Medicago truncatula: one gene and its partners. The main gene of each other region encodes a partner of the protein of the gene in region 3 in a complex. Links are inferred from orthologs where the notes say so. Each region holds a gene or a part of one and is shown on either strand. Other genes may lie near its edges.

What was found.
Region 1: suppressor of mec-8 and unc-52 protein homolog 2 (region 3) and serine/arginine-rich splicing factor SR45a share a complex: the UniProt entries of both Arabidopsis thaliana proteins name them as parts of the spliceosome. The link is inferred for Medicago truncatula from reciprocal best matches to the Arabidopsis thaliana genes SMU2 and SR45a.
Region 2: suppressor of mec-8 and unc-52 protein homolog 2 (region 3) and serine/arginine-rich SC35-like splicing factor SCL28 share a complex: the UniProt entries of both Arabidopsis thaliana proteins name them as parts of the spliceosome. The link is inferred for Medicago truncatula from reciprocal best matches to the Arabidopsis thaliana genes SMU2 and SCL28.
Region 4: suppressor of mec-8 and unc-52 protein homolog 2 (region 3) and serine/arginine-rich splicing factor SR34A share a complex: the UniProt entries of both Arabidopsis thaliana proteins name them as parts of the spliceosome. The link is inferred for Medicago truncatula from reciprocal best matches to the Arabidopsis thaliana genes SMU2 and SR34a.

Annotation. Positions count from the first base shown.
Region 1 is NC_053044.1:28,074,885-28,082,846, reverse strand, and holds serine/arginine-rich splicing factor SR45a, read right to left. Parts: upstream 3,011-7,962; 5' UTR 2,870-3,010; coding exon 2,867-2,869; intron 2,383-2,866; coding exon 2,360-2,382; intron 2,258-2,359; coding exon 2,183-2,257; intron 2,040-2,182; coding exon 1,931-2,039; intron 1,817-1,930; coding exon 1,667-1,816; intron 1,200-1,666; coding exon 1,136-1,199; intron 1,041-1,135; coding exon 442-1,040; 3' UTR 247-441; downstream 1-246. UniProt on the Arabidopsis thaliana protein: Probable splicing factor involved in constitutive and/or alternative splicing events. May bridge the 5' and 3' components of the spliceosome.
Region 2 is NC_053045.1:57,273,159-57,280,975, reverse strand, and holds the start of serine/arginine-rich SC35-like splicing factor SCL28, read right to left. Parts: upstream 3,012-7,817; 5' UTR 2,925-3,011; coding exon 2,668-2,924; intron 1,702-2,667; coding exon 1,534-1,701; intron 1,432-1,533; coding exon 1,361-1,431; intron 1,235-1,360; coding exon 1,195-1,234; intron 1-1,194. Other genes in the region: sugar transporter ERD6-like 16, read right to left, coding at 6,495-6,616, 6,700-6,814, 7,049-7,108, 7,218-7,271, 7,365-7,424, 7,510-7,572, 7,666-7,712, 7,815-7,817. UniProt on the Arabidopsis thaliana protein: Involved in intron recognition and spliceosome assembly. Probably active at the 5' splice sites.
Region 3 is NC_053043.1:19,409,534-19,417,550, forward strand, and holds the start of suppressor of mec-8 and unc-52 protein homolog 2, read left to right. Parts: upstream 1-5,009; 5' UTR 5,010-5,184; coding exon 5,185-5,231; intron 5,232-5,347; coding exon 5,348-5,485; intron 5,486-5,729; coding exon 5,730-5,779; intron 5,780-7,779; coding exon 7,780-7,891; intron 7,892-8,000; coding exon 8,001-8,017. UniProt on the Arabidopsis thaliana protein: Auxiliary spliceosomal protein involved in splicing of specific pre-mRNAs that affect multiple aspects of development.
Region 4 is NC_053044.1:45,763,798-45,771,476, forward strand, and holds the start of serine/arginine-rich splicing factor SR34A, read right to left. Parts: upstream 3,002-7,679; 5' UTR 2,846-3,001; intron 2,115-2,845; exon of another isoform or gene 1,849-2,114; intron 1,711-1,848; 5' UTR 1,686-1,710; coding exon 1,599-1,685; intron 972-1,598; coding exon 906-971; intron 814-905; coding exon 739-813; intron 665-738; coding exon 520-664; intron 38-519; coding exon 1-37. Other genes in the region: protein EMBRYO SAC DEVELOPMENT ARREST 30, read right to left, coding at 6,139-6,313, 7,049-7,602. UniProt on the Arabidopsis thaliana protein: Probably involved in intron recognition and spliceosome assembly.

The DNA of each region.
Region 1 (7,962 bases), on a different chromosome or scaffold from region 3:
TCCAGTTATGAATAGAGTTGGTGTAATATTTGATTTTATGTGCACTAATAAGAAATTACAAACTGACCTGAAATAAAGGAGTTCTAAGCATGTTTTCTTTGGTATAGCAGTAATCTAGTTTGAATTATTGTTTAGATTTTTTATCACAAAATCTCAGACATTGGAGTAGTAGTATGAAACTGAAAATGAGCACCTTAATCAACGAAATCTAAAAGTAAGGTAAAACAATAAACGAAAGACATACTCTAAAAAGTAAATCAAATAACCATGGTATATAACATAACACTGTGCACTCCTTCAAAAGAAAAAACATAACAATTAGGTGTCTCAACACAAGTCCTGAACAAAACTAAAGTACTAAAACACTCCATCTACGAATCTATATATGCTTCCACGCTGATTAAGACTATTATCAAAGCTAATCTAGGATAAACTAGTTGTTCAGTTTGAAGGAGAGGTAGTTCCAGGAGTGTTGGACCTTGAAAACGATCTTGAACTCGCACTCACACTTGAGCTTCTTGATCGAGAATGCTTAACTTTGGAATAACCGCCACTCCTTCTAGAAATTCTTGAATGACTCCTTCCTGATCTCTTTCTTGCCCTGGGGGAGACACTTCGAACAGGAGATGCACTTCGCGAGTAGCTCCTCCTTGACCTCCTTGGCCTTGGTGAAACACTTCGAGAAACCGACCTGTAACGGTACCTTCCACAGTAGCTATCATCAGGTGATTCATATCTGGAACCATAGGGAGAGTATGATCTATCACGCATTCTGACAGGAGACCTGCTGTAAGGAGAGCGAGACCGAGAATATGATCTGTGCCGGTCATAACGATAGTACGATCTGCGTCGACTGTAGTATGGTGAGTATGCCCTCCTTCGCCTGTAGTCAGGAGAGTAAGACCTCCTTCGCCTGTAATCAGGTGAGTAAGAGCGACTCCTACTATGGTCTGATGAATAAGGTGAACGATTGTAGCTTCTTCTATAAGGAGAATAGCTAGGCGATCGTCGAGGAGAGTAGCTTGGAGAGCGTCGCCGTCCTGAATTTAACAAAATGATATGGATTAGAAAATTTGAAAGAAAAAAAGGGTGGACAATCATAAATGAAGTCACAAGAAAGAATAATGAAACACACCTCGAATAGTTTTGAGACCAAGATATTTCCCAGGTGTTGGGGTTCGACCACGTCGTCTTCTAGCCTGCAGTAAATGCAAATAACAACATGAGGATAAGGTATTGCTATGCACATGAATGTAAGCAACAACAACATCAATATAAAATCAAAAAATTAAAATATTTAGCCCAAAATATATATAAACCCTTTGTCAGAGAAGGGACTTGATAGCTATAAAAATGACGGGAATATAACAAGTTATAAATGCAAGAAAAATAAAAGAGGGAAATGCAGGGCATACAACCCCAACGGTCTGATGCTTGTTGATGTATTTGATTTGTTTAGTTGTGATTTGAGAGTTTGATGAAGGGCTGCTTCACACCCTAACCTGCTGCCACAGAAACTTCAAATGGAAAGAAGCATAAATCTTTCAAATTTCATAAAGAACATAAAACGCAAATCATCCATGCATAATCAATGCAGTGAAGTCGAGCAAAAATCAAAACAACTAAAAATCAAAGCCCCAAAATAGACATTGTTGATTGAGTGTACCTTCTCAACCGTAATAACACGACCTTCAAGTACAGAGCGATTCAGATACTTCACACAACGATCAGCTTCTTCTAAAGTATCCATTGTCACAAATCCAAAACCACGGGATTCCCTTGTCCATGGATCAACAACCAGATGAACATCTACCACCTACAAAAGCAATTCAAGAGTACAACATATTTAAATTTCAACAAATAATAAGCCAGTTAAGACTAATAACAAGCATTAAATGAATAGAAGAATAGAAGACAATGAAGAGCATACTTTTCCTTTAGCAGAAAAATGCTTCTCCAGTTCCCTCTTGGTGATCCTAGGAGACAGTCCTGTCACATACAAATTGTTTCCTGGATTTTCCACATCTGGTGTTACGCTCCTAAATCACCATAACAAAACAACTTCAACATGAGTGCATAATTAGATAATTAAAAATACAACAGAGAAGCAATAACACACATAACTATATAAATCAACTCCAAAAGTTAACTCAAATAAAAATAGAGGGGTCGAGAATCCTACCTTGAAAGAGATCGGGAAACAGACCTACTGTATCGCCTGTATGGAGAAGGCGAGGGCGAGGGAGAGGGGGAATACCTGTGAAACGAAAATCAACAGCATAAGCAACATTGCAAAAACGAAAGATACTTGGATTCAAAATTTCAAATAGCAAATTTGAACATTCAGTAAGCAACTAACCTTGATCTCCTTGAATATGATGTCTGCAACAAATCAGAAAGTACAAAATTAAATTAGTACTTTTACACTAAATATGAATGTATCGTTAATTATGATACAAGAATTATAATACGAGAGTGTGTTATTTGAACATCAAAATATCATATCCGTATATGTTTATAACCTTTAAAAAATATAACATCAAAACAACGGATGGGGTATTTGACATAAAAAATTTGATAAAAAAATATCATTTCTCATGCAAGAAACCAATTAAATTTGAATAGTGCATAATAATAAGACCAAATTTTACAACAAATGAAGATTCTAAAACAAGTCCCAAATAATTAACTTCTAATATCCACTAAAGCTAAACCTTATCGATCAAATCAAATTATACAGTAAAAGGAATATAATTAACAAATTTGAAAGACATGCATAGAGATAATTGATTCGATATTCAATTACACATAATAAGAATGTAAGAAAAAAAAAAAAAAAAAAAAAAAAAGAGAAAATGGAACTTACCATAGTGGAAGGTGAATGGTGAGAACTTGATTTTTTTCGAATATGGAAATGAGAGAGAATCAACGAAATTGTGTGTTGGAAATAAGAGAGAAATGGCGTAGGAAGGATGAAGATGGTTATATAAAGGGTGAAGTGTGAGATTATGAGAAGTTTCTGGAGAATCAACCAGAATTGGACACGTTCGATGCAATTTTTATGGGCCCTGGGCCTATCCCTATTAGTTTTAGGGGGTACCAAATTAGTTTGTGGGTGACAATTTCAAATTTACTCACAATTCTCACAATTCTTCAAGAGTAGTCTTAAGTCTTATCAAGTTTGAATCATAAGGAGCCACATTTTTACGACATAAAATCGCATATGCATATTTCAAGGAAAAGTTTGCATTTGCAACGTGGTTGCAACAAGGAGAATATGTTTTACCTAAGTTTGGGAGCTTGAACCCCAGCCCTCAAGAAATTTAGAGAAAATTTCTCTAGCACATTTCCAGTTCTTATTATGATTAAGCACGTAATGAAAGATTGGAAAATCAACTTCATTGTTTGAAAAACCTATTTGAAGGTGATCTTTAAGGCAGTTATATCCTTTTATGGTACATATTTAAAGAGGTCATTTTATGGACGTCCAGTGGCAAATTTAATCGTATAGAATGGAACAATTTCCCTTAAATAGAGGAGAATACTAGTACGATGATTAAACTCACTTCTAGAAACTACTTCATTTGGAAGTCGAAAACGGAGGATATACTTTACTGCAATGATACATATGATCCTGCAGAAAAGGGAGACACGGAGCCAGATAAAATTACGAATGAAGACTGGAAAAAAGTTTTGTCGGAAGGTTGTTAGTTTGCTTAGGCAGTGGGTGGATCTTAGTGTATTCCACCATGTGGGGCACATAGACGAATGCCCATACTCCATGGAAGAACATCGAAAATATATATCAAAGAAATACCGCACAAAACAAAACTTTCACTATTAGAAAGTTGGTGAATTTAAAGTATCAGGAGGGAAGATCGGTTGCCAAGCACTTGAGTGACTTTCAATACTTGCTAAACCAATTGGTTGCCATGAAGTGTTCGATGCCAAATTATAATCATTGTTACTTTTGAGTTCTTTGCCAAAAAATAGGGAAACTTGGGTAGTGTCGTTAAGCAACTATGCTCCAGATGGAGCACTTACATCAGGCACGGATACACGTTCAGCTAATTGGGGGCACTTGACCCCACATGTTCTATTAATTTTACATAAATTTGTTAAGTAATTTTACTTTTTTACCATTAAAAATAAGTTTTGCCCCCACAAAATATTACTAAATTTTTTTTTAAAAGAAGAAATTAATATGCAAAAATATGAAATATAATATTATTGAATAATTGATTGTTGATGTATATAGACAAATATATTCGACAATACTCAAAATGATGAAATAAACAATAGTTTTAAAATATAAAGTCAATAGAGAAATACATTTCATAGATACTTAAGTATATTCAATTTTTTGAAAGTATATTCAATTGTTTGGATATAAAATGATATAATTTTTGTAGTCTCTGCTTTTTTAGTGTTAATAATATCACTTATTTATGAGTAGATTTTTTAATGTACATTATTATAGTATATGATTTCATTAAAAAAATTAGTATATGATTTTGCACCTGCTTAACAATATTTCTAGATCTGTGCCTGGCTGACATTGTTCAAAGTTAAAGACAACATGTTCGATGAAGAAATAAGAATAAAAACATAGGATCAAGTAGCTCTCAAACCAATGTCACGGAAAACAGAGGCAGAAGTAAGAGCTGATGGTGATCCAATAAATCCAAAGACAGATTACAGTCTCAACCTCGAAAAAAGTTCAAATATAATTGTTGAAGCAAAATCCTTTTTATTATTTTAAGGATTACAAACATATTTATTTAATTATATATTGTTATCTACTAATGATTTTTTATGAGAAATGTTTATGAGAATGATCTCAAGAATGATCTTGGCACATGACAAGAACAAACAATAACACTCACGTATGAAGACAAGAGTGAACTTTTTATGCAATAGTCTATGTATCATTAAAGGCAAGAAATTAATATGAAACATTTTGTCTCACCAAATAAAGGAATAAGATCATATGACTTGATTTGGTATTTATGGGCTTTTAAGGAATTTGATCCATTAAGGAAAAAGACCCATTAAAAGAAATATCTCTTATCTCCAGAACATTCTGGTCCTATTTAAATCTCTACTATATTAATCCAGAGTGCTCTGGTCCTTATAATATTACGTTACTAATTTCTTCCAGAACAATCTGGTCCTGTTTAAATCTCAATCATATTAATCCAGAGTTCTCTGGTCCTTATAATTAATTAATTATACTGCCTCCAGAACATTCTGGTCCAAGATAAAACAACTGCATAATATTTAACTAAAGTTTAAGTTCAGCTCAATATATTGTTTTATCATTCTTGCTCTCCAGAACGTTCTGGTCCTTAACTGAATCTTTATATTTCAGCCTTATATCATTTTCTCATTCTGCTCCAGATCATTCTGGTCCTAAGATTATTACTTATTTGACTAACGTATCTTAACCAAGAAATTTTCTTGAGTATAAAATTTAATATAAACTTTCAGGAATAATTTAAAAAGGGTCACAATTCAAACCCCCCCTTTCTTGTGACATTTATTGCTACTTCAATAATCACTGCGGCAAAGAAGGTCACATAAAAAGAAATTGAAAACAATGGAAGAGCAAAGAAAAGAAGGATAAGAGGAATCAAATGCCATACGAAGATGAAAATACCACAACCTTAGTAGGTGATGGGGAAATGATGTTGCTTTTTGTTGAAAAAGAAGAATGTCGTATTGTAGATTCATGTGTTATATGGGTCGTTGACTCTGCATCTTCTTATCATGCCACTTCCAACAAAGAATTCTTTGTGATGTACAAAGTAGGAGACTTTGTTGGCAAAGTCAAGATAGACAACAATAATATTGTAGATATTGTTGGAATTAATGATGTGTGTGTTCAAACCAATATCGGTTTAACACCAACACTAAAGGACGTGCGACATGTGCTAGATTTGCGTCTAAATATAATCTCCGTCCATGCTCTTGTTTAGCTGGACTTCAAAACAACTTTGGTGATGGAAAGTGATACCTACCAAAGGAGCATTGATGGTTACTAGAGACGATGTGTATCCGAGGCTTTACAAAAATCAAGTTAAGTTGATCAAAGATTGCTCGAATGTGGTCAAGAATGTTGCTTTGTCAGATTTGTGGCATAAAAGGATGGCTCACCTAAGTGAAAAAAAGATTGCAAATTCTGTCAAGGAAGTCCCTCGTTGCATCTCACAAATGTACTAAGTTGAATTATCATGATTGTTGTTTGTTTTTGAAGCAACATAGAGTTGTTGAGGCAAAATCCCTAATTAATTTTAAAGATAACAAACCTTTATTAATAGGGAATTAATGGACTTTGATTAATTTGTTGGTATTTAACTTGTGCTCTTGAGTGGTTAACTAAGACAGGAACAAGTTTCAATTTATACCAAGATACAAAGAATCAAAGGACATAAAGACTTAAGAACTCAGTCAGAGTTCAGAAAGTTAAAAAGAATTTAGAAAGTTGAACAGAGTTCAGAAGGTTGTTCATGATGAACATCAAGAACCAAGCCCAGATACTCATGAACTAAAAGACGATCATGCAAGGTTCATGTGACTTAAATAAAAGCCCAGTAAAGTACATTGACTAAGATCAATCAAGGAATAAAGGCATTTATTTGATAAAAGTCAAAGAGGACATCTTCAATGTTCATTTAAGACTATGAACATTTGAAGTACAAAACATTAGGAATATTCCATTAAGAATATCATCCTAGATGTTTTCCATGCTGCACTTCATAAATGTTTCACTATTAGGATTTGATTACATTAATTACAAGTCTTACAAATCATCCTAAGTGAAACAAAAGAAACATTCTGAAGTCCCCTGAGTTCAGAAAGTTCGATCCTGCTCCATGCTTTTTTCTGACGTGAACAGTACAGTGGTTGGAAAGCAAGAGGCAAAGTCAAAAGCAAGATCTGATCTCATTCATCAAGATCTCGACACATAAGGGAGTTGGTACTGTACAAAGCAAATCAAATCCCCTAAAGCATGGAAGTGAAGTGACAACACCACTTTATGATATCCTGCACGCGTTCCAAGACAGATTTCAAAGAAGATCTGCTACAGGAACATTCTGAAGTATGTCCAAGAACAATCTTCAAGTACAACCCAGAAATTCATCATACATTCATCTGCAAAAATCCAGATGCATATCTGACCGTTCATCCACATGAACTCAGATGAAGATCATGAAGAACACAACAACATTCTGAAGTATCTCAGTTTGCCCAGAATTTCAAGTTAAAGTTGGTGGGTCCCAGGACACGTGGCATAAGACCAGTGGTCACTCTCCAACGGCTATAAAGGATCAAGAACTCTATAAATAGAGATCAAGACCTCAGCATACAATACACCTTTGCAAAGCATACAAGAAAACAACATAAGAGTGTTTGAAGCTTTAGCAAAAATATTGATCATCACAAAGATTCCAAGAAGTCTTCAAAAGTGTAAATCAATATCTCTCATATCTTTTCAAAGATAAAACTCAACCTCCATTCTTCTCTTGTCTGATCTATATCATTCAACCTCCATACAAATTGTAAAGAAAGTCTCATCTAGCTTTAGGGGTACTAAAGTGTTAGTTTGAGCAGAAAGGTGTAAAGTCTAAGTGGGTAACTTAGCAAGAAAGGTGTAAGCCTGCTGAGGCTAAGAGAATACAGTTGTTGTAATTGTTCAGGTGAACAAGGTTGTAAGGTGCAGGATTTGAGAAGTTATCTCAAGCATCATAGTGGAAAATCTCACAAGATTGTGAGGAGTGGACTAACCCACATTGGGTGAACCACTATAAATTTCTGTGTGTTCTTCTTCTCTTTTCTTTACTATTTACTTACAGTAAACACAACACACACAAACACATTTAATTATTCAAATTGTGTTTATACTAATACTTCAGAACGTTCTGAAGTCTGTCTGTTAACTTAACCATTCCAAGTTATCAA
Region 2 (7,817 bases), on a different chromosome or scaffold from region 3:
AGTTCATTTGTTGTTTAAAGAAAAACTACCTACAAAGATAATTGACACAAAATCAATCAAACCTTCATTTTTTTTAGTTTCTTATAAGAACTAATACTTGCTTCCTCTTTAGAGTCTAATTAGCCAAAATGTGACCTTTACCTGTACCTTCCAAAAGTTTCTGGACAAATACATGACACTTTGATCCAAACAGACAGTTATGAATGATGTACTGCAACAACAGCATCTGGTAACTTCATAGCTCTCTTTGTCCCAACTTTTTAAAATGACAACTATCTTTCTTGCACAACATATCTCTACCCGTAAATACTTTGGCTTCCATTCTTTGAGCATGATTTTCTTTGGCCAACTATAAGCTTTATATTCTTTCTAAACTGGATGGTATATGCAAAACAATATATCAAACTAAATAAAATCTTCTTCACAGAAAAATGGTATAAGGGAATAAAAAAAAGTAATTATTTGAACCATTCTTCTGCAACAAGCCAAAATCCAAAGTGGGTAAAGTCCGGACAACTGGCAGAATAAGGCAAGTTTGGAATCGATATTTCTTATGAAGGGACTTTGATAGATACGTAAGCAAGTACCAGATCACTTTAAGCCTCTTTACTTGTTAAACTTTATTAATCAATCTTTAAACTCTTCCACTCACATTATTATCTGCATAAAGAAGACCATAAGCAGATATCATTCAATTCACTTAAACACATTATAGGAGTCCTGTCAAGGTCATAGGATTGGAAGGCACTCTGATTGTAAGAACTAAACCAGCTAATTATACTCTTGCCGAGCAAGGACACAGTACATCTATCACAAATGTGATGGGAATAAAAACTTAACAGAGCAATTCTTTTACCAGCTGTAGCTCTGCTGAGCAACTTTGATCACAATGATTTCCAACCAAATAGCAAACATCCTTTACTACCATGGATTCTAAAGTCTAAACATGTCATACTACAGCTAAAATAAAATCACTTCCAGCTTATGAAATACAACTATTGTCTAAAATTCAATTCGAAATAATATTTCAGTACCTAAATACAAGTATACAACCAAATGCAACCGGTTGCACCACCATAATAATTGTAAATTAGGCTTTAGTTCAAGCAAGATGATATGATGCTCAGCAAAATATTAAAATATAGTAATATGATTGAGGAAAAATAAACCATTAGTAATGTGTAAAACTCAAACCTTGAATCATCCCTGGCTGGTGATGGAGACTTAGAGTAGGCTGCAAACAATGCAGATATAATAACATAAATAAAAGGATTGGCTTCTCAAAGAATGCATAGACCAATTTAAAAAATTGTTAGTGTTTAAATATGATTTTGAAGCCAAGGCAAATAGGTATACTAACATCGATAACGGCTGCGTCGTGGAGATCTTGATCGAGCTCTCCTTCTACTACCACCACCTCCACTTCGACCACTTTTAATAAATAAATAAATAAAAAGATCAATACGCATGAAACGATTTCATAATTGTAAAATGTAAAAATAACTAGCACATCAAATCAAACTGTAAGCACACCTTCCATGAGAAGTAGTAACACGCATTTCTTGAGGGGTTTTCCTATTTTCCTCAGCAAATACAATTCTTATTTCACGTCCACCAATTATAGTGTGATTAAGTTGTTGCTTAGCCTCTGCTGCATCTTCACCATGTCGGTATTTCACAAATCCAAAGCCACGAGGCTCACTACAAAACCAATTCAACAAAAATTCAACGGTGAAATCAAACCAATCACAAATTTAAAAACAATATATTATTAACATACAAGTAAAAAAATAAGTCTATGGTCAAAATACTCCTAGAGACTTGGGTATTATATGGTGCCAAGTCCCACATTGAATAGTATGGTATGGTTGGCGATGTATTTAAGTGGCTTGATTCTACTCAAAATAGCTAGCTTTCCATAGGTTCCTCAAACCAGTTCAACACTCCACCAAGCATCCCAATTCCATGCGGACTTTCTTTTGTTTTGAAACTCGATATCCAACCAAATGACAAACTAATCCAAGGGACCAATCCCACTGTCTCCTAACAAACCCAATTGAAACCAGAGTATGGACCGGCCCAACACAAGAAATGTTAACACGTGGAGGAATTGAACTTGACACCTTGATAGGAGCACACTCCGAAAGTCAAAGGCTAACCTCGAGCAGTTTTAATCCATGTGAGACTTAGACACCCCATATTACACAAGTTCCTATGAAATACACACAATTTCACAGTGTATGTTTGGTTCCACTTCTAAAGTGGCCAAAATTGATTCTAGAGGTGTAGAATTGATTCTGACATGTTTGGTTGTTTTCAAGTAAAATTGATTGTGCCTGCAAGCTTGTTCTACTTGAAGATAGGATTTGTAACACATGTTTGGTTGTTTTCAAGTAAAATTGATTTTGCCTCCAAACTTATTCTACTTGAAGCTAGGATTTGTAACTTTTGATTCTAAAATTGATTTTTATACACAAGCTTATAGTTCAACTCAACTTTTATACAATGCATTCAAGCACAAATCAATTGACCTTGAAATCACTTTTAATCAGAAACAATTTACTCAATCAATTCTAATCACAGCAAAATCAAATATACATAGTAATATCTTATTGAAAGGGGTTGAATTGTTACTATAAAAAAAAGTTAGAAGAGAAGAGACGATACCCAGTGTAATAGTTTCTCGGAAGGTAAACATCCTTGACAGGACCATAGCGTTCAAATGGACCCCTAAGATCTTCAGGTCTTGCATCAAGAGGGAGATTACGAACGAGTAATCCAGAAGGAAGAGGAGAACGACGGTCTCTGCGAGACCTGTTGTCAGGATAGCGATCATCTTCGTAACGCTTGCGACCGCGAGGTGGTGGAGTTCTGCTACGCCGGCGAGGGCTGTAGCTTCTGCTACGGCTTCGATATCGACCCATTCTGAGAAATTAAAGAGAAGAGAGTTCTAGAGGAACAACAAAAACCCTAATACCCCGATAGTAAAATTCAGATAGGATTGCGAATTATTGAGAGAGGACAAAAATATATAGGAATGAATTGAAGAATTAAATACATTCTTTTACAATTTTATTTTTTTTAAGTAAAATACATTCTTTTACAATAAGATGATATGAATAAATTATACTACCTCCGTAAGGGGAAAAGTTACGGTGCATAAACACTTCACAACCATTGGATTTACATAAGAAAAGGCAGTATAAAAACAATTTCAAACAAAAAAAAAAATCATAAACCAACACTCTTTCTCTCTAAGTCTGAAACTTAGAGAGATGTTCTGCAAAAGAGTTTCTTCTCCGACCTCCTCTTCAAGCGCCAGGGCGGTGCCTGCCATCCCAACAAGGCGGCGGCGCCGCGCCGGAGATAGCAAAAACCTCCGTTTTCAAAAAAAAAAAAAAAATCAAGAATCCGACATCCATTTTCTTTTTAAACTCAAATCCACCTTCAAAATTTTCGAAAAGCAAACACATATGCCTAGATTTAGCTTCAAAGATTCGAAGAAAAAAAAAAGGACACGAAAGAGAAGAATTCGAAATTGATAGAAAAGAAAAGAAGAATTCGAAATTTGTAGTGTGTTATGATTCTGATGATTGTTTGCTAGAAAAGTGTTTGATGGATTTGTAGTGAAAGCTCAAAAAATGAATTGCTGAAACCATTCCCACAGCAAAAATTTCTGGAAACCATTCCCACGGCAAAATGGTTTCGGAGTACAACACACAGAAACCATTTCCACAACAAAATGGTTTTGGAGTACAACTCACATAAACCATTTCTTTCCTCCTCCTCCAATTGTGTCAGTCCAAAACTGAATGATGTCAATGGCTCTAGGTCCTTGGTTTTTTTCACCTGCTGAAACCATTAAGTACATCTAATGGTTTTGGAGTACAACTCACATAAACCATTTCCACAGCAAAATGGTTTTAGAATAATTTTATACAAAACATACTATAAAAAGGACATTTGTGACTGTCATTGAACCAAATCATTATTAACAATTTTATGCTACTTTTTTAAATTTTAAAAGTTTTGGGTCAAAGTTATTTTTTTTTTTTAAATATGGACCGGGTTGCAAATTTTAAAAATTTAAACGGACAAATTCAAATTTTAAAAAAATTTAGAGGTTAATTTTCAATCTTTGAAAATTTACAGGAGTCAACTTGTAATTTTGGAAATTTATACGAGCAATTTAAAAATTATGAAGAACAACTTGAATTTTTTTAAAAAGAAAATATAAAAACCAATTTGACATTCATAATTTTTATTTCTTAGGTTTCATAATTTTTATTTCTTAGGTTTACTAAAAAAAATAGAATTCCTAATAAAAATAGTTTCCAAGTATCGTTTGAAATTTTCTAAACTTAACTTAAACAAAATATTTTATAAATTTTCATCTTTTTAAAAATTTGAATCATTTTGTACCAATTTTTTTTTTTGAATCATTCAAACAATAAAAATTGCATAGAATTTTAAACTCTCTTAGACCACTTCAAAATTTTCATTCATCCCAACCCTCTAAATGATTCAATATTTAAATTCATAACCATAGTGTAAGACTCGTTAGTATCACATGTGATTCATGCATGAGACCCAAAAATTATTTTTCAATTGTCTCAGCGTGTTTGGTTTGGCGGCAGAGTTAATTGATTCTGGTATAATTGAGTTTGAGAGAATTGATTATGGTTAAAAGTGAGTTTGATGTGAATTGATTTATGTTTGGATACACTCACTTAAAAGTGATTCTTATGAGTTGATGTTGTTTGAATAATTTTAATCAAAATTGATTTTGAATGTACAATGACCAAATTATCCTTTTAATTGTTTTTGAAACTAAATATCATATTTTCTTTTCAGATAATTATTTCTACTTTTCTAAAATCATAAGTACATTTTTATTGGTTCATAAATTCCTTTTAAAATGATTTTTTTAACGGAAATTCCTTTTAAAATAATATTCATTAATAAGAGTTATTTGTAATATTTTGTTATCAAACCAATTGAATTATTATTTGCTTCCACTTCTACATAGTTCGAGCTTTTCTAGTTTTAGAATTAAAAGCAAAAAAATAAAATAAAAATGTAAAAGGAAAATGACTCTACATGAATTACAATGGGCCCATTCATCTCTCATCTCTAACCTGAAGATTAGATAACAGTACCAGACAGCAATAAAAAAAATGTTTAATTACTTTTTTTTATCGTCTAACTATTTAATTGGTATCAGATTGATCCTCTAACTAAAAATTGATTTATTTCGGTCCTTTAAGTTTCTCACCGTTACTACATTTAGTTATTTCTTTATGTCAATTTTATTCAAATAAACGTTAGGATTTGTGTTAGACATAAAAAACGCAGGACAATGAAGGGAAAAGCTGGAAATAATAATGTTACTTCTGCAGAATTGATTTTGGTGGACAGAAAAGCTACATATTGTAGCTTCGCATAAAATCGATTGTAAAAGGAACAATCACGTTTTTAACATGGGTACCAAACACCTTCCAAATACAATAAAACCACGTTTAGAGGTGTAAACGTACGTCCATGGATGCCAACCGCAGAACCAAAGAGGGACTTAGTGGCAGTGTGCTCATTGATCTTGTTCAGATAGTTGTGTTTGTTCTTTGATTACCACATCACAAAGGAACTATCTTCAAGCTCTTCGTGAGATTTCACACAACTACTCAAATACTTCCTCAAGGTCCACAAACCTTCAATCGTTGACTCTCATTCGGTATAACTCACTCCTAGAAATCATATTTTATACGCCAATCTCATTCATAATCAACCGTATCATATTAATAATTATATTAAAAAAAAAGATCATATTTTTGGGTATAATAAGAAGGTGTCGTTCGTGGATGTGTTCATTTCGGGTTTTAGCAAGGGTGGGACGGGTGGAGGTGTAGTCTATTTCAGTGAGAAGAGGAGTTAGTGGAGGATTGTACGTATTTTTTGGGCAAACATTTTTTTTACATGATATTTATGAATACTGGTGCGTATTCAGTTAAGGTCAAGGATGTCTTCCATTCTATAGAAAATGATGTAGGAGTAACAGTGGTTCTAGTGCATTTTGTTGATGATATTGTTTTGGAACAAAATAGTTCATTTGAATGTTTGGTTGTTTGCTTAGAGATTTTAATAGGTTACTGATGCAGGTTAATGTGTTAAACATGGCATTTTGAACGTTGATTTACAGTTATGTGTTTTGGACTTAACACAATACACTTATTAGTTAGGTCTATATTTTAGGTGTAACGTCCATTCTATTACAATGCAGTTCATATGTAAAAAAATTACTCTTATTAATTTGCTATTTTATGAGTTACTCGGTGTTGCCAATCCTAGTCCTCTTTTTGCTATTCCTTGCAACAAAGCAATCTAATACTACAATCTGATAAAATAATAGTAACTGAAAAATGTCCTCCTACTGCAATTTTCAGCTTGGTCTCCAACAGCACCATCAACTAGTGGCTGTGATTTGGTAACTCTTTAATTCATATCGATGAATTGAGGCATGCCTGAATTTCTTCCAATGTTTTTCCTTTGGTTTCTGGGACTAACTTTGCTACGAAAAGAATAGTTAAAAGGGAACATCCAGCATATAAAAACAATGTACCTGCTCAAAAATATAGAAGATATATGTTACCAAGATGAAGAACTTAAGTTTACTAACTAATTGTGGTAGTGTATTGTGCTTACCAGGAGAACTCCAGCTCATAAGAAAGTTGAAAGTATATGAAACAACCCAAGCTCCTAGCCAATTTATCAAAACTACCAAACTCCCAGCAGTTCCCTTTACATGTATAGGAAAGATCTGCAATATGAAAACTAGTATTAATTAAAGCATTTCTTACATCAACACTGCATCTACCTTTTTATTCGGTTTTTATATCGAGTCTAATTCATTTTTATAAAATCGACATATATCGTAAGAATGTCACTATTTGTATCTTTTCAATGCGTGACTTGGATTTTCTCAATACCTTCCATGAGCACAATTGTTCATAAGAGTTGCACTACAAAAGCCACAAAACCAAATGACACATACCTCAGACATTATTACCCAAGGAACCGGTCCCATTCCAATTGAAAATGCTGCTACATATATCTGACACAATTTGATACAATTTCAGGTCAAATATGCTTAAAGAATGTATGTGATTAACTAACATTTCATTAACTCAAATTCCTTAATCACATTTTCAAATTAGACTCACCAGAATGCCGGCAACAGCTAATATTGGTACCAACTCAAGCAGCAAGTTCTGATCCTGATCCATGGAATTATACACAAAGTTTCAAAATTGACGAATTGAGAGATACACGTCATAATCTATATAGAAAATATGATTAGTAAAACTTGCCTTGAGAAAGAAAGCAATTCCAGTCATAAAGCAACCTAAAAATGTTCCACTTGCTGAAGCCTACATGCATATAGACACTTCTATTAGGCATTTCCCCTTATCAACGGTATTATCAAAAATTTTAGATACTTGATAATAGAATTACCGTTATAAGTGGTCTTCTTCCAGATTTATCCATCAAAATGGCTCCCAAAATAGTGAATGGAACCTGTCATTCATTTTAATATATGCTGTTATAAAAGTACAGTTATATTATCAATAAATAAATGTATGAGAAATTCATATAGGGATAGAAAACTACCTGCATACAAGCATAGGCTATGGTACCAATTTTTCCCGAAGAAAGTCCTGCAAGTCATGTTGTAGCGCGATATATAAATAAATAAATAAATATAAACAAAGAGAGCTACTTTGATTTTTCAAAATCAAAATGTATTTTTTCAAACTTACCAG
Region 3 (8,017 bases):
TATTACGATTTTGCTGCAACTTGGAGTGTAGATGGTAAACATTTTCTAAGGTCACACGCAGTGACGGATCCAGAAGTTTTGCTTTGAGGGAGCAACATTTCATCATCCATATGAAAGTATTGATGAGACAGCGAAGACACCGACAACAAGAAGTGTCATCAATGAATGTCTACTAAGATATCCATTAAACTCAAATAAATGACATAAATAATATATTTCAGCTTTTGATGCATCCCACTCTACAACAAACTCTTCATTTTTCTGAAAGTCTAAGATTTCTACGGTGGTAATTTGATTGTCTTTAGTCTCATTCAAAATATGAGTTCCAAGTAATCCCAAAACTTCAACTTGAAATTTCATGAAGATTTCATGTGTACAATTTGCTTTTCAAACAGTGAAGGTGTTTTAAGAATCGGTTCCGTGTGTCATGTATTAAAATCAATTACTTGTTTTTTTGTCTCTTCTCTATCTTGCAAGGAAACTATATATTTTTCAACAAACTCATTTAATGTAGTTTTATTATAACCTACATATTTGTCGAAAAATGAATTAATGCTCTCATATATCTGAGTTGTTGACATACCACAAAAAAAAGTATCCATTATGTAAATAGGAACTCAATGATCATGTTTATCATATAAAGACTTAATTCACCCATACCCATATAATTGAAATAATTTCACAATCTCTTGTCATTTATGTATAAATAGTTGCTTTAACCAAGATATATAAATGCTCGAGTTTAGATATCTGATAAAGTCGTCATATTTCTTAATACATGACAAAACTTCTCAAGAACATTTCTAAGTATATGCCAAAGACAAAATCAGTGTTGAGTGTTTGGAAATATCTCTCTGATAGTCACTTTTATTGCTCTATCTTGATCACATATTATTGCAATTGGAGGTTTTACGCCCGACGTTTTGAGCCATGTTTTCATCATCCATATGAGAGTATTTGAGGTCTAATCTACTAGTAATGTGTAACCAAGTAACCTTGACTGAAAGTTATTATTCACACCAATAAAAGGAGAACATGACATTTTATACTTATTTGTATTAAATGAAATAACATCTCGAAACTCTTGATAATAATCTCTATATTTTTCATCTACTTAAAATAAATTTCTTACATGATATAATCTATGATTTAAATAGTAACGATAACTCATATATGATATGACTATCATAATAAACTAATATAAGAAATGATAACAATAACTCATAATGATATGATAACAATATAAACTTTGATTTAAATAATAACAAGGAAATATGTCGTACTAGTACATGTCAATGGTGAGAAATGGAAATAAAAAAAATAAATAAAGAGTGAAAGCAAGTTAGAACATGAACATGATTTCATTGATAGAGAAAATAGGTTTAATCAATTTTATGAAAGCAGCCAATTTCATTGATAGAGAAGAACCTGAAAGTGAACATGAAAAGAATGTGTGTGTGGGAGTTGGATCACATGAGATAAAAAGTTAAAAGCTAATTTAATAATAAAAAATAAAATAATTAGTAACACTAAAAGGATGAACCAGTCATCAGTAGATTGAATTAAAAAAATATAACACATGACTAATTTTTATTTAATGTGTCAAAAGAGTGAACTAGTGGTGTGACCTTAACATTTCTCTAAAAATATTACCTACCAACACACACACACACACACACACACACACACATATATATATATATATATATATATATATATATATATATATATATAAAAGGAATTAAATTACACTAAAGTAATGTTGAATCAATGTTATACCATTCAATATAGTTTTACTCGATTAATATTTTCAAGTTTGACCGTTAATTATAAGTTTATATCATATAGGTCATCTATGTAAAATTTTATACAAATCGAAAATTATTTGATATGTTTTTGTGAACCACTAAGATTAACGATGTTCTATAAAAATGAATAAATTGTTTATCTTGATGGGTCTCAATAACATATCAAATGATTTTAGTTTTATGTGAAAATTTACATGGATCATCTAAATGATATAAACTTATAATCAAACGGTCAAATTTGAAAAATATGAATCGAGTAAAACGATATTGAATGGTATAACATTACTTTTGAAATGATGCTTGTAATTTTGTTATACCTTATGCCTGTAATTTTTATTAATAAAAATAGTGAGTTGCCTAAGTTTGTTTTGTACTATCAGTATCAGTTAACTAAGCATACATGTGCAGTTTTAGATACACGACAGTTTCATTATTTCTCCTTAACTTGGCAGGTCCAGTGCAAACACAATTAATTCATTCATTTATATTATACATGACATGTCCATTTCATTCCTTCACTGGCAACAAAAATATAATATGGATTGATAATTAGAAAGTTTTTAGTTGAAGCGAGTGACAATCATGTGTTTCGAACAATAATCAAATTTAAGCCGTGACACTAAAAACAAATTTTGTTGTGGAGCTTATATTGTTTTCTTTTATCCATCATTGTCCTTGTGTAAAGGGTTGAGTTTATATTGTGACACTAAAATTGAGAAGTTATACATTGTAAATTCAATATCAAACTAATAATAACATTACCATAATTCAATCAATATTGTAAAACAATCAGATCTTACATAATGTCAAAACACTTAAACAACAAGCCAAGACATGAATTCACAATCAAAAAGGAACAATAACGTGCACCCCAAAACGCTGTCAGACCCCCAAAACAAACAACCAATGTAGCAACAACAACCAGCAGCAACAAGGAAAAAACCCACACCCACCTCTGAACCAACCCAAGTCTCAATGCCATGTTGAAATATTTAATTATAATTTATTTAATTATAATATTCCAATAATTATTATATGGGCATATATATATATATATATATATATGTTTTAATTATTTTATCTATTTATTTTTAAGGGCCTTAATTATTAGTGATCAAATAATGAAAAAGGCTTATTAAGTTTCTATTAAAATAATAATTAATTATTTAAGTGATATGGACTTGGATACGGGTGGATGTTCGGATGGTCCATTAAGGAAATAATGGGATCCTCAATTTACCCTACATGCCTATTGGGTTTCCATTGGTTTCAAACAAGTCAATAAAGAAATAAGAATGATTTAGAAAGTTATTTAAAATCATGCAAAGTTTTCTTGAATATATTTTTGAGTTCGTCTATATTTAAGAGTTTATAAACAGATGTTCCAAAAAAAACATTTATGAGTCCTAAATTTATGTGTAAAAAATCATTTAAATACATCTTGACTTTACAACATGACCAAAATACATCTCGACAAATTTTGTAAGGATAAAAAAAAAGTGTCTTTTTTTTATAAAGACAAAAAAATTGATAATTTTGTCGGAACGAAAAAATATTCAAACTCTCGATGGTAATGTCAACAAACTAACTTACAACTTAGTAGTTACTACTCTCCACCTCAAAATAAAAATAAAAAAACTTAAACTTGCTTCGTCCTAAATTATAAATTGTTTCAACAATTTCACATAAATTAAGAAATCTAATCAATTTTGTATAAAAAATAGAAAGTATTAGGAAAAAAATATGAATTATTTTACAAAATCATCATTCATTGATGATATGAAAAAGATAAAATCAGAGAAATGAAAAAAGATAGAGTAATAAATAGTTAAGAATATAACATAAAATATAAGCTTCATTAAAATTGTAAAAACGACTTATAGTTGACACAAATTTTTCTTCCTAAAATAACATTTTTTGTCAAGTTGTTTGATGGGTTAAAATTCATCTGTTAAGGTAAATAAGTAGAGTATCTGATGTTTGAAACCCGACTCCCATACATAGATAACAATACATTATTTTGTCAATTGATATATACTCACGATGACAAAACTACGGAGGAACTTATTAAATCAATTCTCTATCAATAAAAAAAGAGTAAATAGTCAATTTCCCCCCTGAAATTGTAAGTTTCATCAATTACCCCCCTGAAATTAACAAAACTTCAATTACCCCCCTGAAATTTCACAACGTTAGTCAATTTACCCCCTCCGTCAAATTTTTCTGTTAGTGAACATGACGTTTTGCAAATACCCCCCTGAAGTTTTGCACTTATGTGCAAAATGCCCCCCAAACTTAAAAATTTATATTATTTTTTTCTTAAAAACAAACAATTAATAGTTAAATATTAAAACTAACTATTAATTTTGGAATTTGGGAAAACTACATGCATATATACATCAAAATAGGCTCCAAAATGGGAAAAAATATGTATTTTTTAAAGTGACAATAATGGGATGATTTGTGGATTAATATTGGGGGTTGTGTAGTTTAAATGGTTTGAGCAAATTGTTGAAGGAGTTGGAGGAGTTAAAAGACTAAGATGGTGAAGGAGAAAATATAAATTTAAATCTGATTATTAATTTGTTTATAAACCTCTAAAAATAATAATTTGTCTATTAGAAATAACCATTATTGTCACTTTAAAAATAAACATTTTTCCCTATTTTGATGTATATATGTATGTAGTTTTTCCAAACTCCAAAATTAATAGTTAGCTTTAATATTTAACTATTAATTGTTTGTTTTTAAGAAAAAAATAATATAAATTTTTAAGTTTGGGGGGCATTTTGCACATAAGTGCAAAACTTCAGGGGGGTATTTGCAAAACGTCATGTTCACTAACAGAAAAATTTGACGGAGGGGGTAAATTGACTAACGTTGTGAAATTTTAGAGGGGTAATTGAAGTTTTGTTAATTTCAGGGGGGTAATTGATGAAACTTACAATTTCAGGGGGAAAATTGACTATTTACTCATAAAAAAATTATTGGTCCCGTGAGCACAACTCAATTGGTAGGACAATACATTATTATATGGGGTCGGAGTTCGAATCACGAACACGTGAATTCTAGCCACTAGAACAAAAAAATTTATTGAATTAGTTTCAATAAAAAAACCAAAAATATTTTTTTTTAGAGGCCAAAAATTACTTGTTTTATATCTTTCCTTCAATTCCTCATTTTTTCTTACTTTCGCCCAAAAGTCCTGAAAGTGAAGGATATTTCCGTAATTTAAAACCTCTCTAATCTCCTTCATTCACCAGCAGCAGCTTCACGTCTTTCTTTCTCTCGTTCCCTCGCAAAACCCTAAACCAAAAACAAAACTCAATCCAAAAATTCAATCTCACATTTCAACACTTTCAATCGAGTTTCAAATATGACACAATCGAAGAAAAATCACAAAGATAAACCAATTCGCCGCAAGTAAGTTTCATCCAATCTCATTTTTTTTTACAAAATCATAGTATTTTTTATGGAGTGGGAGGTGCAAATAGTAACTTCTGTGGGGTGCAAATAGTAAAGTGTTTGAATTTGTACAGGGAAGAGAAACCGGAAGAACCAGAATTGCCAAAATATAGAGATCGAGCTAAAGAACGTAGGGAAGATCAAAATCCTGATTATGAACAAACTGAACTTGGTTTTCATGCTGTTGCTCCTCCTGGTACCGTTGATATCAGGTAAAGTTTCGATTTTTGCCTTTTTGTTTTTTAATCAATGCATGAAGCACAAAAAAGAGTTTTTTTTTTGTTGGGTGTGAATTGGCGCGCAACTATGAAGACTAATCTCTCAAGCAACCCAAATGGGTGGCGAACTATCAGTTTTAATGTTGTTGCATACCCAAACTTGAGTTTGAACTCGAGACGATAGTTAAGCTAGAAGAGACTTTTTTTGGTATTGTCTAATGTTGATTATGTTTTATAGGGCATCTGATGCGCACAAATTGTCTATTGAGAAGAGCAAGTACCTTGGAGGTTCGTCTTGTACTTTTATTTTGTTCTACAATGATTAATATTATCTTGGTTTGTGCTATGGTATAATGAAATTTTAACAAACCGGTAGTGTAGAAAAAAGACTTGTAGATTTTGAAGTAAGGTGAGTAGATAGATAGATAGAGGGTATTCGAATCAGAAAGGTAGAGAAAGACGTAGTCATGTAGGAAAACTATATGAGAAACTATTACGAAAGATTTAGATATTATTGAATTGGATACATATACGATATATGATAGAACACTATGATGTCGTTTGATCCATGTAGCCGACCCCACTTAGTCGGAAAAAGGCTCGGTTGTTGTATTGTTCTAAAAGCTGTCTTGGTTTGCAAAGAAATAGTTAGTCTTAAAGCAGTGTTGTCAAATAGCAGCACTGTAGTTTAATGAAATTTTAACAAATGACTATTTGTTCTCAAAACTGTCTTGGTTTGCAAAGAAAGTTATTTTAAAAGTAGCATTGTCAACTGGCCGTGCTATAGTTTAATGAAAGTTTAACAGACTGCTATTGTTCTAAAAGCTGTTTTGGTTTGCAAGGAAACTGTTAATCTAAATTCAGCGTTGTCAAATGGCTGCGCTATAGTGTAATGAAATATTAATAAACCACTGTTGTTCTGCGATACACAATTTAGTACAAAGTTTTGTCAAATAGCAATAGGAGACTGGTCTGGTTTGTTACATTTTTGGCTCTCTGCCATGAGCCATCGACAATACAGATAGCGTGCTTTAGTACTGTAGCATAGTGGAATTGGAACAAACCAATATTTTTTGCGATCTGCGATTGACACACTGCATAAAAGCTTGTTTTAGGTCTCTTCTGCATGTTCATAAAATTGTTAATTACTATATAATTCTTGTTTCTGGGAAGGTTTATTACTTTGGTGCATTAGAAACCTAAAAATAAATTGAACATTCACTTGTTGTTGTCATCCTCATCATGACAATAATTCAACAACTAGAAACAATGTCTTTTCCCACTAGATGGGGTTGACTACATGGATCAAGCAAAGTTGTAATTTTTTTATCATAAATCTTATCGAATAATATAATCTTTTAATGCTTTTGTATATAGGTTATTTGGGTCTCCTTCTATACCTAGTTATTAGAGTCTGGACTATATTTAATTTGCTCTAGCCTCCTAATCGATACATCTATAGGTGTCTTCCAAGAATCTCAAAACATCGTAAATGAGTCTCTACTAGTACTAACATTTTTAAACAATGGGGTCTACCCCTACTTTTTCTCTAATACTTTTGTTTCTACTTTTATCTTGCTGTTTGATCACTTATCCATTGTATCATTCTTATTTGTGCAACACTGAACTTACCTTTTCATAGGCTCTTTACTACCCAACATTCAGTGTTGTAGTTGTGCGATAAAAGTGTCATCTAATTCTGACTTCTGAGTGGTATTTTTTTGTCAAATGTTACCCCTAAGTGTTCTTCCATTTCATCTACTCTGGTTGGATCTTGTAATTGACATCTCCTTCTGTTTCTTCGTTATTTTGTGAATTAGACCTAATATTACCTAAACCATGCTGCTTAGTAAATAGTTCATTCTCCAATTTTCACCTCGAATTTAGCAATTATGTACCTCCTTCCAGATCATCAATGATTTGTTCCATAAAGATTTAACAAAGTTTTACGTTGGTTGTTATTTGTCTAACGCAACCCTCCTTATTTGTAGGAGGGGGGCTGGGTCGGGCTTTGTGATGCACATACGCATAGTTGTCATCCTAAACCTCGATGATCTCAAATTTCCATATATTGTAGACTCTAATATCTAGTGAGTAGGTTTTAACTTGGAATTTTGAATTTCCTATGCTGCATGCCTCGTGATATTTTCTTATTCAGGTTTATATTCTTACGCTTTTGATTACATTTTGACATTCTTGCTTTATGATAGAGTAGGTTAAAACATGAAGCCCTAACTGAATGTGTTATTTTAATAACTTACCTTGTTTGCGTTAATTACATTGGTCAGGTGATGTGGAGCATACACATTTGGTTAAAGGTTTGGATTATGCTTTGCTGAACAAAGTAAGAAGTGAGATTAAGAAGCCAGATGCTGGGGATGATGGCGATGGGAAACCCAGGTGACTGAGTCAGAATTTTCTGCAGTAGTAGTTATGTGGTTGTACTGCTATCAATTAAAGCATTTTATTGTCCTTTAAAAATTGTTTAGTAAAATTTGTTCTTTTGTAGGGCACCCAAGGAAGACC
Region 4 (7,679 bases), on a different chromosome or scaffold from region 3:
TGCCAGGATGCAGAAGATGGGAGTCCTCGAACAATAACTGTAGTAAACAAAAACAAAAAAGACTAAGATACTATGGTGTGTAGAAAATCACGAAAAGTTAGAAAACAAAAATATCTTCAATAATTATTGCCGATTGGCAATAATATGCATAAAAGTAGAACAAAAATCACTTGTAATTTATGAATCACATAAAGCAAACAAGCACATACAGTAACAAATATCGAAAATTGTGAATTCATAAACATGCAGATAAGAGTCATGGACAATGGTTCAAGAGTTCTCAGCATGAAAAATCTTAGAATGCCATGAATCGGGGAAATTTAAATTCCCTTTTTGAAAGAAAATTTAAATTCTTCCTTAAAGAATGATAAACATGATATTAGTCGGAGCTTAATGGGTGAACAGCCTAAATGAAAAATAAAAATGCAATTCCGCGTTTTTTATTTGGTAACAAAATACCATTCAGCATATGTTCCCTATCATTTTTATATTGAAAAAGGAATCCCTAAATAGACACACCTCGAAATTCAGAATGGCGAGAGACACCAAAACGGCCCCCACCAGCACTATCACCGCCGCCGCCTCTTCCACCGCCGCCGCCACCACCACCATACCCACGTCGGTCACTTGATGATGGCCCTCTGCCTCCATGGGCGAGCTCCACCTACAACAAGAACAGATTAGGCATTCCGAAGAAAGTTTTCACCTCACAAGACAAAAGTTGGAACAGTCCCTTACTCTTAATCGACAACCATCAAAGTTGTAACCATCACGACCCCGAATTGCATCTTCAGCATCTCGAGCATTGTCAAACTACCAAGCCAAAATACAAGTAATCTAGTAGTGAGAAAAAGGGTAAAGAGTGTCGCCAAGACAGAAATATATAAGAGAGTAATTATAAATACCTCAACAAAACAATAACATGGAGGGCGAGGAGGAACCTTCAATTCAATTTCCATTATGCGGCCATACTGTTAAGGGAATAATGGAAAACCATTGTAACATGACTATGTTAGTACATAACAATCAACCTCAAACATTGACCCTTGAAGCTACGTATAAGATAAGAATCAAGCAACAGATATAACTAAGGGTAAAATCCAAATCCAAGTTAACAAAGCTAAGCAAACTATAGTCCATTCAAAGGAAAAGGAGGTCAACAGAAAAAATACATGGCTGTAAGTAGTTAAGAATATATGATTCTTTATCCTTCATAAGTCATAAGAATTGAATAATGCAAACTATCTGCTTGTCAGTTAAAACAACAAACAACTACCCAAACCTTTTCTCGTTAACTGTTATCATCTGAATTGAATATATGTTTAATGAATTTTACTAATCGGTTAACATAATTGTAATTGATTTCCAGTAATTAAACAAAAAATAAATAGAGAAGTAGAAATGCAGGTTTGAGTAAAAGAAATTTTCAGTTCAAAACTCCTAATGGTGTAAAGGTAGGTTCCAGACAATAGGAAGATATAGAAAAATTCAGTAGCCAAACAAATTGAACAAAACACAAAATATCATGAACTAATATCATGAAGACATGAACTGAAGGCACCATAACATGGAAAACAGGAAAAGTACGCAGCTCAAACCTTGTAGAACAGATCTTCAATTTCTGATTCTCTTATATCAGCGGGCAGGTTGCCAACATAGATTGTGCGAGAAAAGCGACTACTCATATTTGATTGGAGAAATTGTACAGTTCTACAAAAAAACGGAAGCTCATCAACAAGTAGAAATCAATTACTGTCTGAAGCCACGCCTAAACCTGAAACGCCTAACTATCATCATTCTAATGATTACACAAACAAAAGTAAATAAAACCAAAACTATGAAGCAAACCAAGAGAGCAATCCTTGAAGAGAGCCGTGCTCCACAAGCTCCATTGCTCATTTGCTCCAAAGATGCTCCAAAGCTATAACAATATTGAAAATAAATTTGCTCTCCTCATCCTTTCCAGAAAATTAGCAAGCATAATCCTTCTGAGAGTGAGGAAGAATCTCCAATTATTTAAAAAAATAACCACAACTCCACCCCGATTCTCCCACTCCCACTCTATATTCCCTATGTTTGATTGCAAAGCTCAAATTTGTCCAAGCGCTTGTCATCTATCATAAAGAAAGCATTTGTGTCATGAGATCAAATTATGATCATATACTCAACAAGTTACCTTACTCATCTCTCGTTTAACCGCTTTGACAGATCAAACCCTAACATTACCCTTTTTTTTATTGATTAAACTAGCACTAATGGCCATTTTACAACCGTCCCCGTTGGTTACAAGGCTAAGCTCTTACCACTGAGCTGGTGCCTCAACTGTAAACATTACCCCTTGTTAATTTTACACACACTTGTTTTAGCTGCTTATTCTCCGGGACAAGTAACTGGTACTACATTCCTATACCCTCACCTCACAATCTGAAATACCCATGTATACAATTCACAAATCCTTAACTAGAATCATTACCCTTTTACCAGCTTCTTCAATCTCGTCTGCAGATTTCACCCCGTGAAATACACAAACTTAAAACGCAACCACATCACCTAAATTGGAGATTATTTTCCAATAATAACTAAGATATACAGAACAATAAAAATTCAAAATTCTAACGTGATAACTAAGCAGAGTCTTCAGAAATTGCACCCAATAGCATACAAGGTGGGCAGGCAAAACCCAAGTTGCGAATTTTAAAAAAAATTCAAACTTGGAGCTCAACGATGGAAATGAGATAAAATTTACCTCAAAACCCTAATTTAAAACGGGAACATTCAAAATTCAATAGAGGCATGAAACAAATTCAAATTCAACAAATCAAAAGAAATTTGATGCACGCCATACCAGAAAGATTACAGCTTGAGCACCCAATCGCTGCAAAACTGAAGCCGAAGCTGGAACAAGATCCCTACGAAATCGAGAGAAGAAACGAAGAGTTTGAGGCAAGAGATTAGGGTTTAAATCTATGGATCCGAAACGGGTTTGGGCTTCAATAGAAAAGGAAAACGGCCCATCCTTTGTTAATGATTGCTAATCGCACCCCTTATATGCTCAAATTTGTACGACGGTATATTTTCAGATGAAATACACCACTGAAAACGTGCTTCCGATATAATACCTTATTTAATGGGGAAAGGATGAGAAATAGTCGTAATTTTTTTGAGCATTTTGATTGGGATTATTTAATTTGAGGGAGAAATTTGCTATTTCAAAAGGACATATACACTTACATCTTGCCACCCTAACAAAACCACTTAACAAAAGGAGCATTTTGATTGGGATTATTTAATTTGAGGGAGAAATTTGCTATTTTGTAATTTAGGATCCCAAATTGTCCGACGCTCACAATTTTGAGACTCAATTAGTTTACTTATTCTTAAAGAATCTAAATTAGATAAGAGACAACATGAACAGGTGTTTATAAGCGGGGACAATCATCGCATCACAAACCAGTTTTGTAAGGTTGTGATAGGACCAACCATAAATTATAAGATTAATATGTAAATATCATTTATATGTAGGGTGTAAATATATTTTATATTGATTGAGAAATCACAGTTATGATTTGACAATGTCTTGATAGTTAAGATACCCTTGTATATATACACGATTATGCAATGAAATATACGAGCCAAATACAATCTTACATGTCCAAATATGTGATGCAATGCTCAAATCTTCTATCCATGAACCAAATGGCCGAATATACAAGATAAAAAAAAACACAGGTTTCTAAAAGAGTGTTGTGTGGCGTGCATTTAAATCATTTTCATCTTATATTTTGTTGATCTAAAGAAACACAGGTTTCTAAAAGACAATCTAAACTCGCTTCATACCTAAACCAAAACCCTTTTTACTGTCTGGCAAAAAATATACGAAGCAAAAACAAAAATCCGACCTACCGAACCAATGGACTAAATTGATGAATTTTATATAGTTTAGAGAATATTTTTTATATTTTTATAGTTTAGTGACTAAATTGGTGAGAAGTTGATAGTTCAAGATTAAAATGATGGTTATTCGATATTACACTTTAATATTTAGGTCTCTTCAATATTACATAGATTAAGGCCCCGTTTGGATAAACATCTTATATAGATGCTTATAGCATTAGTGCTTATAACATTAGAGCTTATATCATAAGCTCTTATACTTGATAAGTTATTTATGTTTGGATATGTACACTAAAAAGTACTTACATAAATTGAAGTGTTTGGATGTGACATTACATAAGCAATTATCGAAATTTTAAATATTTTTAATTTAACAAAAAAATCAAAGAATTGAACCACAGTTATCAAGATTTTTTTTGATAAAATTAATCAAGGTGTAAAAAAACAATATTATAACATATTAATTATAATTATATATATATATATATATATATATATATATATATATATATATATATATATATATATATATATATATATATATAGTATAATCAATATTTGTTCTTAAAAAAAATATCAATATTCATATAAGATAAAATTAACATTAGAGGTGTAAATAAACATATCATATATATTGATATTAGTGTGCAGTTTGTTACCCAAAAAAGACAAGTTAAATTTGTTTTTTTATTCAGTTTCATTTTGTTACGTAACAAAAAAAATAATAAAAATCTTCTTAAAAAAAAAAATCTTAGTTACGTTTGTTACTTTAGTAAGATAAGTATATAACAATTTTGTTACTGATGCACCGCCAAAGATAACTAACATTATAATTAAAATATTCTTTCAAAAAAAATTATAATTAAAATATATGTTTTGAAAAAGTGGATCTAGAGAGAATCGAAAGAGGTTACATAAATTCATAAGCTCCTTGTTAAGCCAGAGGGTAAGCTGAAAATTTAGGCTTATTAAAATATGGCATAAGCAGCTTATGAAACTATGATAAGCTATTTTTATTTATTTACCCAAACGCCTTTAAAAAGGCTTATGGGAGTAGATAAGCCCACATAAGCTCAAAATAAGCCAATCCAAACGGGGCCTTAGACTACTAAAAATGATTTTTTATTATTATTGTAAACAACAATTATTTATCATAAAATTATATATTTAATATAAAGTGCAGATAAACTTTATATTTTTGACCTTTTTTACACTTTGAATTCTCTTCTTCGTTCTTCCGATCACTCTTTCATCCCTCATTCAAAGATATATTTGTTTGTCTCTTTCTCCCTTAATTTTTTCCTTGCATGTTCTCCCTCTTGGGCCTCCACAATATGTGTCTATCTGTCTTTAAATTCTAGAGAGAATATCAAGGTAGAGAAAACGTAAGGAAAAAAGATTGAAAGGCAGACGGACACAGATCTTGAATGAGGGGGAGGATGGGAGAGTGATTGGAAGGAGAGGATGCAAAGATTTTACGGGAACCCGAAGTTTCTTGATCTTATTTGTTTCAGAGCTTTGTTTCCATGGATTGCCGTGTTAGTAATAATTATATTCATCGCACTAAGAACTTTAAAAAGAGAGAGATCATGCGGTGTAAAAAAAAAAAAAAAAAAAAAAAGGATAGCAGCCATATATGGATTAATTTCTAAACAAAAACTCTGCTTCTAACTTTATCTGTTCTCCAATTATGCAGACAGCTGATCTTTTTATCCTTCTGTTCGTAATATGTATGTTACAACAAAAATTCAGATGAAAGTGGAAAGTGAAAAGTAAAAGAAATTGTTATCTTTGTCTATGGAAATAACCAAAAAATTAATGAAAGAATATATTTGAATACCAATATGCTCAGCACAGATAGCATTGAGACATGTGCGTTGCCGGAGCACCTTATAACCTATACCTCTCAAATTTCAGAAAAATTGGATGTTGTATATCTATAGACTGTAGTTATGATATGCACGTCCACTATCAGTCATTTGGATCCATTTCCTCATCTTGATCCCAGACTTGAGTCTGATCAGTTTTACCACCATTTTTTTCAGACTCAGATTCATCAACAAAATCATTACTCTCATAATCTGGGAGCCCATCGTCTTCAGATTTTACCCCTTCTTTCCCCATCGAACCTGACAGACTAGCATGCTGCATCCATTTGGGGCAAAGGTCTTCGCCTCCATATAGAAATTGGCCATCCTCACCTCTAACGCGGTTAGCAACGCTGGCAGAAGCTACTCTACAAGATCATTCTGGAAGTGGATGTGAAAGGAACATTGCTGGTTTTGACAATCGAGATTGCCTTATGAGGCCTTCCTCGGTCATACTTTTGTTAAGATGTTCTTGCACTAAAATTGTCCAATTGTGTTTTGGATGGTACAAATTCTCACGGTTCATGTTGAAAAGTTCCGCAACAACTTTCCTGTAAGAAACATGAGGAAATAGGGTCACTAAAATGTAGAATTAAGGGAAATTTCAACTAACCAAAACCACAATCAACTACATGGTTTTCAAAGAATTAGAATGCTGAGAAGTTCAAAGCGCGGAAACAGAAGTTCATCATACTCATCACCTTCAGATGCATACATACATGCAATTCTCAAGGCATCAAGACAATCAATAAAAAATTACCGCATTAGAAAAAACATAGGTGGAAAGGAAGGAAGGCATACTATGCACACAATTTATTGACAGAACAACACATATGCATAAAATTTATCCAGAAAGTGCCAAAGACAGGCCCTAGGCTTGTCTGTGGTCTGCTGCAAGAGAATTGTCTTGTCTAGCATTTGTTTAAATACTGACATGTATGGATGTCTGGAATAGGACCGAAGAAAGTTGTAATAGTGTTCTTTAGATAAATATTCAATCAAGAGTCAAGACAAAACATGCCATCTCTGAGCATTGTTGGTTACTGAAGTGGAGTAAAAGGAAATAACGTGGCTCGTTGCTCTATATATTTACCCTTTCCCCCACATAGTTCCAGCCCAAAAAGAAAGAGATCACAAAATAATGTCATCTTTCACCCGCTCATTGAACTCAGTAACTTGGCAACTCTAGTTCCCCAATAAAATAAGAAAATTTGATGATTTATATGAAACCTTTTTATATCTTAATGAATATCAATAAATTGAGACAAACACCAAAGAGCACTTACCTGTCCGGTCGGTATGTTCTAGAAGAAGCAGTCTCGTGCAGCCGATGTCCCATGACAAGGCTTGAAAAATATGGCCATCCACTTCCATCATTGTTATATCCAGGAAAGAAGGCATCTGCTTCCAAAGAAACAATGTAATCTAGTGTGTCCCAAAGTAATCTATGCGCTTTCATCCTCATATCCATAGGTGAAGGATCAGGTTCTGTAGGGGTCTTAGTGATCCAACCATACCAGCCTTCCTTTTCATGTTGGTAAATTGGTCTATTTGGAGGTGGCGGTAGAGGCCGAGGCCGAGGACCGGCCCTCTTCCATTCTTCTTTAAGTTCTTCCTCGCTTTTTGAAGGAGGTGTCCGAAAAATATTTTGAGGAAGAGGTGGTTCAGGTCCAACCAAGTCAGACAATTCTTTCTCACTGCACAAGGAAGTGCGATCCAGTGTATTGATAAACATGGACCGCAAAGGAATTAAAACACGTTGACCTCCGAATGTTTCAGAGCCAGCCAGGTAAATTATTGTTTTGGAAGGATAACCCATTACTCGAAGGAGAATGCCAACCTGTAAAAGTTTAAACAAAATAACAAATCTAATCTCCGAACGGTAAAAAAAATTAATTCCAAAAGGCAATTCATATT